2 linked regions of the Sus scrofa genome follow. The protein of the gene in region 2 purifies or fractionates together with the protein of the main gene of each other region. This does not show direct contact. Links are inferred from orthologs where the notes say so. Each region holds a gene or a part of one and is shown on either strand. Other genes may lie near its edges.

Region 1 (5,981 bases), on a different chromosome or scaffold from region 2:
ACAACAGGGAAGTGAACTGGCCTCAATCATGCAGAGCCTTGTAGGACCTTGTGAAGAATATAGACTTAAGTCTAAATGCAACAGGAAGTCACTAGTGTTTCAAACAGGAAAGTGATAGGATCCTATGTATATTTTCAAAAGCTCCCCTTGACTACTGTCTGGAGAATGGATTGCGGTGGGGGGAGAGCAGAAGAAAGATAATTAGATGGTCATAGTTGTCCAGAGAAGCCTCTATAATGACTGCGGTGACAATAGAAATAGCAAGAACTGTAAGATTTAGAGCACATTCTGAAGGCAGTTTTTGGCCCAGGTGCCCGGGGGTATAGGAGCACCATCACGTGAGAAAAAAAAAGTTTGGTGGGGGGTGGTATGATGACGGTAGAGGTATTGAGGTATGGAACTGAGAATGTGACTCCGCCAAGTTACACCTGGGATGCTGATTAAGACATTCAAGTGGATGCTAGAAAGGCAATGCTGAGCCAAAGCTAAGTCATCTTGGATGCTTTCTCTACCCTTCTGTGGGGACACACCAGGCTACATCTATAGGGAGAGTTGCTAAACATTTCCTTTTAAAACTTAGAGGCCAATTTCTCCCCTGGATGAAGTTTACTGCGTTGCCCATCTGTCTCAGAGTCTAATTCCACAAGGCAAAAATACCCTGGTACTATTAGGATTTAGGCCTTGAGCTAATCCTAAAGGATTTAGATTTTTGATTTTGACAGATTCTTGCACACAGTGTAACTCTATACATCACTGCCAGTTATTCAGAGTCATAGGAACATCAGTGTCAAAAGGGAACTTACAGATCACCTGGCAGAAGACCCTCATTCTACTTATGAAGACACTAAAATTCGTAGATGTTGGTGAGAAAACTAACAACTTTCTCAAAGTACAAAGGATATTCTGTATTCCTTCAGTTCTTTCAGCTCTTCTTCTCTTCGCTGCTTTTCTATTAGTTCCTGCTGCCGAGAAACCTCATCAAGGAAGTTGGTCTCATCTTCATCTAAGCCTCTTACCATGTTTTCTGAGGGAATAATTAAACAAGGAACACTTAGCAGGCTAAAGAGAAAATACAGTCCAATAAGATTTTTTTTTTTAATAAACAGTGTATCCTTCAGGGGATTAGAAGAAAGAATTTGTAAACACTGTGGCTTTTGGAGAGATAACCTGGCATAAAATCAAGGCTTCTCTCCCACTACTAGATATTAGCATAGAATTAAAATAGGCTTCTTGAGTTCTAAACAAAATGTTCTTTGTAGTCTAGATGGTACAAAGTTATCTCTTTTCCACCAAATGAGCTTCTAGAGATTAGATAATCAAGACAATTCCATGGCTAGTTAGAAAGTGTTGCACGAGGCAAAAGTGCACCAAAAAGGCCCTATACAGTTGCTTGGATGCTGTGTTTTTTGAAGCTTACTGAATTTGAACTGTTCCTCATACTCCTGCTGCTTCCTGTCCTTCTGTTCCTGTAGCCTTTCATATAGAGAGCGAGGGTCATAAACCTCCTCTGGGCATTCTGAAAGAAAGAGGAAGGGAGAGAAAGGGGGCAGGAGAAAGGGAGGGAGAAGGAAAAAAAAAACCAAAACATATACTTTAGAATACTTTCATATTCTTTTGGAGCCACAAAGGATTTTTAAAGATAAAGTCAAGTCTCTGCACGATCTGATGGCAAAGATAACACAAAAATAGTTCAAAGTCCACAGCTACCCTTTGGACCTCAGAGAGGGGCCAGCAGTTCTCAAAGCCAACTATCAATGTCAATAGGCCCCGGCCTGAGCCGGTTAACTGGATGAGGCACCCACCCAAACCCAACATGGTAGCAACACTCTCAGCTGTTCAGAGCCTGGATCCACCTGTATAGATGGAAGAGACTAGGGGAACCTCCTGGAAGACAGTGTGATAGGTGCAAAGGGCAAGGATGTGAGGATCCTGGGGCAGCTCCCAGCGACGGAGCAACTCTACAGCAGAATTAATGACTTAATGAAGACGTGAATACCTACTTTGCACAGGATTAAAGATCACTATGTTGAATGCCAGACTATAAGCCTATGTACCTTCTGGATCTTCAGGTTTTCGAACTTTCTCCCATTCTTCTTGCCTCCTTTTGCGCCGTTCATCTAGTTCTGCCTCAGATACAAACCTCTTTTTGATAACAAGGTTACCATCATCCCCTCCATCCATAATGGAACAAGAAGTCTACAAAAAACAAACAAAATATTTCAAGTGAGAACTGCAATTAAAATTACATAGAAACAAGAAGATTGAGCTCTGTCTTCCCCCAGCAACAGACTACTCAAATTCCTTTCAACCCTGAACTAAAGCAGTCTTCAAATAATTTACAGGTAATTGATGAAAGCACATGATTACATTTTCCTCGTGTATCAGATGGTTTCATTAACCATCTATGTTATCTTCAAAGTCACCGTGAAAACTTAGAGTAACTCTCATGATAGGCCATTCCAAAGAAACTCTTACATCCCAGATTTTTCTCTGTCCCTTTCATCTAAACAAATTGGCCTCCTGAGCTCCATATCTTTTTCCCAGTTCTTATCCTCCATTATTTCTATAACATCTGACATTGTTCCATCTCGAAATTCCTATTTCAGGGACATGACACTACTTTACTCACCTGTACCTTACTTCCAAGTAGATTCAGAAAGGAGAAACGCAGGTATTCAAGGAGGCTTAGAGATGAGTCTAGTCTGTTCAACAGGGAAGGGATACACCTAGAGGCACTCAAACCACGAGTGGATAAAGTGGAGGCTAGAAGAACCAGATCGCCTAAGTTCAGGTTCAATGTATTCTGCCCTCTGCTAAACCGACACCTCCCTTCATCTCTTCCTGTCCTTCCTCCCTGTAAACTCCCCATCGGTGCCACTTAGTATTCTATCCTCAGTCTTTGTCTTTTTTTTCATTCCTATAATAACCTCAGCCATTTTATGCATATGTTGATGTAGAAGACTCAAATCCCTGACTCTTCCTTTAGAAAGGAGGGGAGGGGAGTTCCCATCGTGGCGCAGTGGTTAACGAATCCAACTAGGAACCATGAGGTTGCGGGTTCGATCCCTGCCCTTGCTCAGTGGGTTAAGGATCCGGCGTTGCCGTGAGCTGTGGCGTAGGTCGCAGACACGGCTCAGATCCCACATTGCTGTGGCTGTGGTGTAGGCCGGCAGATGCAGCTCCAACTGGACCCCTAGCCTGGGAACCTCCATATGCGACGGGAGCAGCACAAGAAAAGACAAAAAGACAAAAAAAAAAAAAAAAAAAAAAGAAAGAAAGAAAGAAAGAAAGGAGGGGAGAAGGAAATAAAGACAGAGGCATGTGTATGTGTATTACTTCTTTTAAACTAAACCTTCCTGCTTTTCTTTGCTGGTTTCTTTCCTTTTGAAGAACTGTGGAATTAACTCTATGTTAATAATAACTCATACATTATGAGCTATTCGTAGAAATAAATCCTAACAAGGAAGCACATATTCTACACTACTCAATGTCTATTCCAAGATGACCCCTAATAACAAAAAAAGAAGCCTCTACTGCTAGCACAAAAATGAATTAATTACCATTTACTCTCTTACTACCTACTAAATACTTTAAATGTATAGTATCTCTTTTATGCTCATACTGACCCTAGATACCATCTCTTTACAGCTGAAGAAATGGAGGTCCAAAAAAGTTAGGTCACTTGTCTAAGGTGATAAAGGTGGTGAATGATGGAGATGAGAATCAAATCCAGGCCTGACAGCAAAAATTCACGCTCTTACCCAGGTGACCATACCCCTCCCTGGAAATCAGGGATCCTGGGTGAAAAGAGTTCAAACTCCAGTGCTGAGAATGTTCATGAAACATTTTTCTCTAGTCAAGACAAAAATGTAAGCTGAGAAAACAAATCCAAACATGCAGAACAAGAAAATAGTCTCAGCTTAAATCCTACTGTAGCTGAAGTCTAGTTCAAGGTAACAGTAAGAGAATTTTTTAATTCACTAGAAAGAAAACCAGATCAACTGACAGAAGCTGTTGCTGCCACCTAAATCCCGCAACCTGGACACTTCTGATTAAGCACTACTCAATGTCTCTAGCCAGAGACCTAGTACAGAAACATAATTGTTTTCGTAATTTTTTGGCTCTGTGACTACGCCAAAAATGCCAAAAATTCAAGTGCTACAGAGTGAACTCTAATGGAAAGAGAGCCAACATTTTCTTAAATGTCTCTGGCAGAAAAAATGTCAACTATGTAGAACTCTAAGGGACAGAAGAGACATACTGGACATTCATGTGCCCTTTCTTAGCTGTAGCTCTCTTTTCTCGTCCTCTATTGGCTGTCTGCTTTCTTCCCCTCACCCTTATTTCCTGGTAAATAATTCAGAACATGACAGGTCCTTATAGCCCACCTAACATGATTCTCCAACTGGCAATGGAACCTACAGTCCATACCCAGGAGATTTTCAACCAATCCTTATTTCAAGATTGATCACTGCCCTCCCTTCCAGGCAGCCAAGCCTCGGAGCAGATCTGACTAGTATAATAGTTCTTAGAATTGACAGAACTGAAATAGACAGAACTGAAATCCATCCCCCTGTAAATTCCACACACAGGTTCGATGCACTGGGACGTACACAAACGGAGCCAAATCCCCTCTTCAGCAGACAATGCTTCAGTTGTTTGAAGACAACTGCCATGTTCCCCCTAATTTGCTCCTTTTCTGGGTCAAACATTACTAGTTCCTTTAATGTTACATAAAATGGAGAAAAAAGCCTCAAAGCAGTGAAATTATCAAATTGCATATGACTTAAACCTGAGAAATAAATATTAGGATATGGCAATGCCACTGGTACGCCATTAAATGCACTGCTACACATTTTTTTTTTTTTTTTCAGGGCCGTACCCACAGCATATGGAGGTTCCCAGGCTAGGGGTCGAATCAGAGCTGCAGCTGCTGCCCTAAGCCACAGCCACAGAAGCTAGGGATCTGAGTTAGCAATGCCAAATCCTAGCTGTGTCTGTGACCTACACCACAGCTCACAGCAACAGTGGATCCTTAACCTACTGAGTGAGTCAGGAATCGAACCCATGACCTCAGGGATACTAGTCAGGTTCGTTAACCACGGAGCCACTATGGGAACTCTTACGCATTTTTTTTAACATGAATATCATTTACTGAAAGAACTCTTCTAACAGGCCAAGATAAAAACCTTGAATCTTACACGCCTCCATCCAAATAAAAATCGGTGTTCCCTGGTGGCCTAGTGGGTTAAGGACCCGGCATTGGCACTGCTATGGCTTGGGTTAATCACTGGCCTAGAAACTTCCACATGCCATGGGCACAGCCAAAAAAAAAAAAAAAAGAATCCAGAGGCTCTTAAGATTTAGTCTTATAACTCAAAATTAAGAAAGTAAAAATTATTTATTTAATTTTATATCCAGTTGAGTTTTTGGAAAAAGAACCTACCTTCATTTAACTTTAACAAAGATCCCTGAAACTCAAGGGACAGAGCCTTTGGGATACATACTTGAAACAGAAACCCTAGAGAAATAAATATCTTCCCAACATTTATCAATCACTTTTGGGAAAAGACAAATTTATGGGATTCCAAGACATTCTTACTCTCTTTTCTACCAATCTTTTTCTCCTAAGTGTTAGAATTCAGCTTCTGCTCAAAGAGTTTAGCCTGTGCTATTCCCCATCTTTCACATGTAAAGACAAAATCAAGAATCATGGTTGGTTAATGAAAATGAAAACAAGGCAGAGGCACATTTTAAAAAGGAAATTTAAAGACAATGGCTTTAGAATTTGAAAGAGAAACTACTTCTCTCAGTGGATTGGTGTGCTGAAAACACAAGGTCAAAACTAATGAACACTTGTAAAAGTCTGCTCTTTAAAGCTAATATAATCTTGACATTCCCTCATTTCCAAAATAAAACAAACTAGATGGCCACACATGATTATAATAAATTTCTGTGAGTTTAAAAAAAATACAACCAAA
Region 2 (6,661 bases):
GAATCAGGAGTTGTACCCACATTTTGACCTGAAGGGTGAGGGGACCAAAATATGCATATGAGGATCTTAGCCTTTTCTACTTAAGCCAAGACATATACAACTCATGCTGCTGGGGCCAGATGCCAGGAGCACAGGAGTCAAGATAATTAGTCTGCCAACTCCAACATCACCTCCACGCCTCTGGCCCCACATCCATTGTCTTGCATAGCTCAAGCCAGGCTATTTGGGGTCAGCCCCTAGGTCATCAGCCCCTGCCTCACCGTGTTGCATTTCTCGATCAGCAGCCGAATCTCAGGCTTCACTTTCTCAATAATGTCCACCAGCTGCTGGTTGCTTTTTAGCATCCCATTGGGCATCACAAACACCTTGGTTCCTGGCAAGGACACGAGGAAGGTCAAATGACTGGAGCTGGGTGGAAGGAGGCAGCATTCCCCACCTTTCTCTCTTTCCTAGACCCGTGAGATACTATGACCTCTACCTTTGTTCCTGGCCATGCCTGTGGCATGTGGAAGATCCTGGGCTCCACAGTAGCGACCTGAGCCACAACAGTGACAATACCGGATCCTTAACCCACTGCGCCACAAGGAAAAGCTTATGACTTCTGCCTTTTATCTGTCACAAAGCTATCTATAAACCGTGACACCACCAACAGAATTAAAAAAAGAGAGAATATGGGGATTAACAGATGAGTGTCTAAAACATCCGGAAAGTCTAAAGAACAAGATTAAAATATGCTCTACAGACTTAACGCACCAAGCATTATTGAAGAGGAAAAAATGATATGAACTGGGGTTTTGCGAAAAATCTGTGATGTGTAGCCACCTCCAACCTCTCCCTTGGTAGTTCACATTAAGTCCAACCCTCCCTGTTAAATGGAAAATTACGGAGTTCCAGTCCTGGCACAGTGGAAACAATCCAACTAGGACCCATGAGGTTGTGAGTTCAATCCCTGGCCTTGCTCAGTGGGTTAAAGGATCTGGCGTTGCCATGAGCTGTGGTGTAGGTCGAAGATGCGGCTCAGACCTGGCATTGCTGTGACTGTGGTGTAGGCCAGCAGCAACAGCTCTGATCAGACCCCTAGCCCGGGAACCTCCATATGCCGTGAGTGCAGCCCTATAAAGACAAAAAAAGAGGAAAGGAAAATTAGGTTTAGAGTACTAGACAATGTCTGGAGAGCTTAGGAATGCTAATGCTAGGAAATAAAATCAGATCCTGCTTGCTGGACAGGAGAGCACCAGATCCATCCTGCTTCTCAGGGCTGCAAGCCAGGAAGGGTTGGGGTAGGGGACAGTGAAGGTGGCTCTTACCTTGGAAGGCCTCTTCACATTCATCCAACCTTCGCTTCTTGTAAGTGGGCTAAGGATACAAAGAGACAAGAATCAGCCTATTCGACACTCACATCCCCACTGCAAGTTACCCTTCTAGCAAGTTTAATCCCTACCTTGACTTCACAGGTTGTCTTATTAATTTACCCACAATTCACTAAGCACACACAAAGCTTTAAGAAAAGGTTCTTCCCACAAAGCAACTTACACTATAGTTGGAAAGACCAACTTTTCAAGAAATATAACACATTAGGCAACCAGGGGAGGGGTGGATACTATGAACAACAGAAAGAATGAACTACTGAATGCAGAGTGAGTATAACTAAGGGGATTATAAACAAATGTGCTTGTTCCACAAAGAATATTCAATCAACAAACATGTATTTAGCACTTGCAAGGAACAATGCTAGGTGCTGGGGATACAAAGATAATTCAGATAGTTTCTCCTTTCCAAAAGTGCAAGTTCTACCCATGAGACACCGACGGATAAATAACAATATATATAGCAGATAAATAACAATATGGGGTCATCATTGTTATAACAGAATGTGGACATATTCTAAAGACTAGTTGCTAAAGATACAGAAAGACGGGGAACTGCAGTTATATAGCAAGAACAATTGCCCCCTCCCATAACAAGACTCAAGACACTGAAACAGGGATGAAAAGTCTTGCCTAGAGCCATGGTGACAGACCAGGTAACCTGAGGGACCTTGTCACTATTAGCCCTATTTTCAACTCACTCTAACAGAGTACCCATTAACACATGCTACAAATGAAAACCGGGGACCGAAGGGGGTGTACCAAAGTCATATGTCTGTAAGAATCCTCATTCCGGGAGTTCCCGTCGTGGCGCAGTGGTTAACGAATCCGACTAGGAACCATGAGGTTGCGGGTTCGATCCCTGCCCTTGCTCAGTGGGTTAACGATCCGGCGTTGCCATGAGCTGTGGTGTAGGCTGCAGACGCGGCTTGGATCTCGCGTTGCTGTGGCTCTGGTGTAGGCCGGTGGCTACAGCTCTGATTCAACCCCTAGCCTGGGAACCTCCATATGCCGCGGGAGCGGCCCAAAGCAATAGCAAAAAGCCAAAAAAAAAAAAAAAAGAATCCTCATTCCCAGATCCAAATCCCACTGTCCCCTGTACCCCTGTACACGTTCAAGCTGACCAGAGACTTGAGGACAGAGCGCCTACTGCTTCGGCACACACACAGAGATAAATACAGGATACTTACACCGTCCAGTCCATCATGGCTATTGGTGAGAAGAATGGGGTCAGGGACTGGGAGATTCATGTCTGAGTGGATCTGAGTTAGGTCATGGATGTTTAGGATTGGCTCCTGAAAAGAGACGCCCACCCCCAAAACATCAGTCTTTTCAAAATGAACAAAGAAGTATTTCATTTCAAGGGCAACATATGAAGACGGCTTTACAGCACAAAACAAGATAGAATCAACACGTCATTTGTCCCATTTGACAGAAAGACCAGGGCCAAAAAAACTGGGGACTCTGAGGAAAAGAAAAGGGTCTCTCACCTTCAAAAAACTATCAAGTTCTAACAATTTCTTTGGGAAAAAATTTGCCACCAAGTCTTCTGCCTAAAGATGAGGGAAAATATAGCTGAATTAGTAACTGAGGGAAGGTCTGTCTCTACAGACATCTCTTCTCTGGAGAACTCCCAACCATTAACCAATGCTCGATTTTCTACTTCTTTCACTCACCTCACTTGTAATCCGCTCCCTGAAAGAATCAACCTAAAATTAACAAAGAAAGCAATTCAGTAAGAGCAAGTCAGTACCTGGCAAGAGAAGTATGGGCAGGATGGGGAAACCCAAATCCAACTGTCTTTCCCTCACCTTGTAATTGTAATGAGAAGCTGAGAGGCCCCCAGACTGCAAATACTTTATTTTTTTAAGGATCCATTTCTCCATCTCAGGAGAGGGAAGCGGGGCTGGAGGGCAGCACCCACCTGTCTTCCCTCCCTCCCTCCCTTTGTCTGTAGCTTGTCTGAATTTGAAAGCAGACAAAAGACAGGTAGATGGGAGAGGCGTGAGCTCACAAACATGTCAACCCCCATACAAACCTGGCCTAGGATGTGAGGCAGGCCTGACGCCAAGGGCAGGGGCAGTAGCAGCGCCCAGAGATGGGGACGTTGCTGGGCTGGGGGGACTTCCAGCTGTCACTGGCCTAAAGCACTAAGTCCACCACGTGTCCGCGGAAGTCTCCCCGGGGCTCTCCACCATTAGACAGGGTACAGAAGGCCACCCCATAGTAGCGTCTCCCCCGATGCCATCTCTGGGAGTGGGGGGCTGGGCTGAGCCGAGCGGAAGCTCAGGGCTGGTGTCCCCAGGGAGACAAAGACGCCATGGGGAGTAGGGAGCCAGTCAGACAGCTCGAGGATCGAAGCAAGGAGTAAGGAAGCCCGGACCGTACCCCTACCTTGAGCTTTACTTCCTGATCCACCTTCAGCAACGAGGCCATGGCCGGGCCGGGCCGTGTCCGCTCCGCTGGAGACCGGAGGCGCTGTGGGCTCCGGGGAGAGGGTCAGAGGGACGGGAGGAATCTCGGCTGCTCTCGGGACGCGGCCGCTCTCGCTGGCCCACTCACTGCTCACTTGCTCCCTCCCTTCGTGCCGTCCGTCCGCCCGCCTGCTGCCTGCTGCCTGCTCTCTCTCGCTCGCCCTCCCGGCTTTCGCCGCTCACACCGGAAGTTACGTCACAGCCAATCGCCGGGACTCCGAGAGGATGTGCACGTGCCCTGCGCAGCCGCGCTGAGGTTCGGCTCTGAACGATGGTAGCTCTGCTCCTATCTCTCGGCTCCTGTGCCCGATAAGGGTGAAGTAAAAGGGAGGGCAGCAGAGGGTGGTGGAGTGAGATCGGAGTCTCAGAGAGACTCGAGGACCGTTTGCCTCTCTGTTATTCCGGCACTCACCTTCACCGAAGGGACCGTCGGAGGCGCTGCTGCCTGGAGTGGGGGACCCGACAGAAGACGCCGTCGCGCCCCGGTGACGTCGGCCCGAGGAAGCCGGTGGTACCCGCGCTGGGTTCGGGGCGTCTAGTCTCTGATTCCTGCTGTCTCCTCCTCTTGGTCCAAGCTCTCATGTTAGGTTGGAGCCTGATAGGAAACAAGTCCTGTTGTACCAGGCTTCCCCGCCTTTCTCTGCCATTTAGCCGCTTACTCCTAGACCTCAGAGATCAAGTGCCAGATGTATGGACAAATTGATGCCTGTAGTCTGGCGGTGCTTGTCCTAGGCTACACAGTGTTTACAGTATATCCAAGTCCAGAACTCACATCTCCTAACTTCTAGGGCAATGCTGTATCCATTTTCCTCGTGGAAGGCGGAGACTGTATTCCCCCCTACCCGACTTTTTGTCGCCCAGCCCCGCCCCCCACCCACCGGAGGCAGGTGGAAGTTCCTGGGCCTGGGATTGAACCCTGGAGACCGCAGGGAATGGAGCCTCTGTAGTAACAAGGCCAGATACTTAACCAGTTGCACACAGTGGGAACTCCCCAGGCTGTCTGTCTTAATTCACCCATTCATCTGTCTTATAGCATTGGTTATTTCGCACAACAAATCGGAGTAGGCTCTGGGACAGCAGTGTCTCAGAGGCTAGAAATATAATGTGAGTCACTTATGTAAGTTAAATCTTGTGAACTGGAGTTTCGCATTTACGGTTACTTGCCATCTGCCTCTACGTGGATTAAACCATGAGCCATGGCAGCTGCTGACCTGCAGAACCCACTAAGCAGAGCTCAGGGTGGAAACCAGGAGTGAGGCACTCTGTGCTATGGGAAAACTGGAAGAATAGGTCTTTCGGATAGTTAGATCTTTCTTATTTTTTATTTTCTCGGGCTGCACGTGAAACTTGGAAGTTCCTAGGCTAGGGGTTGAATCAGAGCTGCAGGTGCTGGCCTATGCCACAGCCACAGCAATGCCAGATCCGAGCTGCATCTGCAACCTACACCATAGTTTACAGCAAAGCCCAATCCTTAACCCCTTGAGCAAGGCCAGGGATTAAATCTGCATCTTTATGAATACTAGTCAGGTTCTTTTTTTTTTTTTTTTTTTTTTTTTGCTATTTCTTGGGCCGCTCCCGCGGCATATGGAGATTCCCAGGCTAGAGGTCCAATCGGAGCTGTAGCCACCGGCCTACACCAGAGCCACAGCAACACGGGATCCGAGCCGAGTCTGCAACCTACACCACAGCTCACAGCAACGCCGGATCGTTAACCCACTGAGCAAGGGCAGGGATCGAACCCGCAACCTCATGGTTCCTAGTTGGATTCGTTAACCACTGCGCCACGACAGGAACTCCCTAGTCAGGTTCTTAAGCCAAGAGTCACACCAGGAACTCCAGTTAGATATTTTTAGGAGAAGATTTTATGTGCCCAATTCTTGCATTTCCTAGTATCTAGGAAAACTAAAATCCTTCATGGTGATGTCTGCTCCTCGCGACTAGTAGTAATCTTCACGAGACCAGAAGCAAACTTTTGTGAAATGTGTGCGTGGCTGCACACACGTCCCCCTTCCCTTTATCACATATATCCTGATATTTCCCCTTTCCTCTTTGCGGTATTTCAGAGCTACAGCAGTTGGGCTGTAGTTAAGTCAACAAAACAAGGGATGTCACAGTCATCTGCAAATGCAGCCACCTCCAAGAGTGAGCCAGTGAGCCCTGAAAGAACTCAGGAAAGAATACCTGCCCTCTAATGGCCTTCAGACTGCAGCCACTCCTAACAGCTAGCCCTGAGGAAGCTAAGGCTGTGAAAACACAGGATATTGGCCCGGATAGCTGAGGTGCATATCAAAGCAATCATTTCAGTGAGTGCAGATCTCTTTTGTTCCTACGATCTGCTCTTTGTTGCAAAAACTCATATCCTAGCTCCCCCCTCTCCTCCTCAGAGCAGTTTTCTCAGGGATACCTCCTGAGGCTACCCACGCAGTCTCCTGGGCTGAAGTCCTAATTTTGCTCCAAATAAAACTTAACTCTTAACTTTCAGTTTGTGTGTGGGTTTTTTTTGTTTGTGTGTTTGTTTTTCCTTTTTAGGGCCACACCTGCAGCATATGGAGGTTCCCAGGCTGGGGTTGAATTGGAGCTACAGCTGCCAGCCTCCACCATAGCTACAGCAACACGGGATCCAAGCGGCGTCTGTGACCTATACCACAGCTCATGGCAACGCCAGATCCTTAAGCCACTGAGCGAGGCCAGGGATTGAACCCAAAACCTCATGGTTCCTAGTCGGATTCGTTTCTGCTGTGCCACGGTGGGAACTCCATTGATTTGTGTGTGTGTGTGGTTGTTTTCTTTTTTTGTCTTTTTGCCATTTTTTAGGCCACT

The links. Proteins that work in one complex are often made in the same cells at the same time.
Region 1: the proteins of PSME3 (region 2) and FAM192A purify together in Homo sapiens (affinity purification with mass spectrometry; 4 studies listed by BioGRID and IntAct, counting the BioPlex papers as one, with this or other methods). This does not show direct contact. The link is inferred for Sus scrofa from reciprocal best matches to the Homo sapiens genes PSME3 and PSME3IP1.

Annotation. Positions count from the first base shown.
Region 1 is NC_010448.4:19,139,703-19,145,683, forward strand, and holds part of FAM192A (protein FAM192A), read right to left. Parts: intron 2,764-5,981; exon of another isoform or gene 2,630-2,763; intron 2,197-2,629; 5' UTR 2,182-2,196; coding exon 2,055-2,181; intron 1,517-2,054; coding exon 1,418-1,516; intron 1,025-1,417; coding exon 903-1,024; intron 1-902. UniProt on the Homo sapiens protein: Promotes the association of the proteasome activator complex subunit PSME3 with the 20S proteasome and regulates its activity.
Region 2 is NC_010454.4:20,031,543-20,038,203, forward strand, and holds the start of PSME3 (proteasome activator complex subunit 3), read right to left. Parts: upstream 3,805-6,661; 5' UTR 3,804-3,804; coding exon 3,762-3,803; intron 3,269-3,761; exon of another isoform or gene 3,254-3,268; coding exon of another isoform or gene 3,179-3,253; intron 3,077-3,178; coding exon 3,044-3,076; intron 2,921-3,043; coding exon 2,858-2,920; intron 2,663-2,857; coding exon 2,558-2,662; intron 1,357-2,557; coding exon 1,308-1,356; intron 374-1,307; coding exon 261-373; intron 29-260; coding exon 1-28. UniProt on the Homo sapiens protein: Subunit of the 11S REG-gamma (also called PA28-gamma) proteasome regulator, a doughnut-shaped homoheptamer which associates with the proteasome. 11S REG-gamma activates the trypsin-like catalytic subunit of the proteasome but inhibits the chymotrypsin-like and postglutamyl-preferring (PGPH) subunits.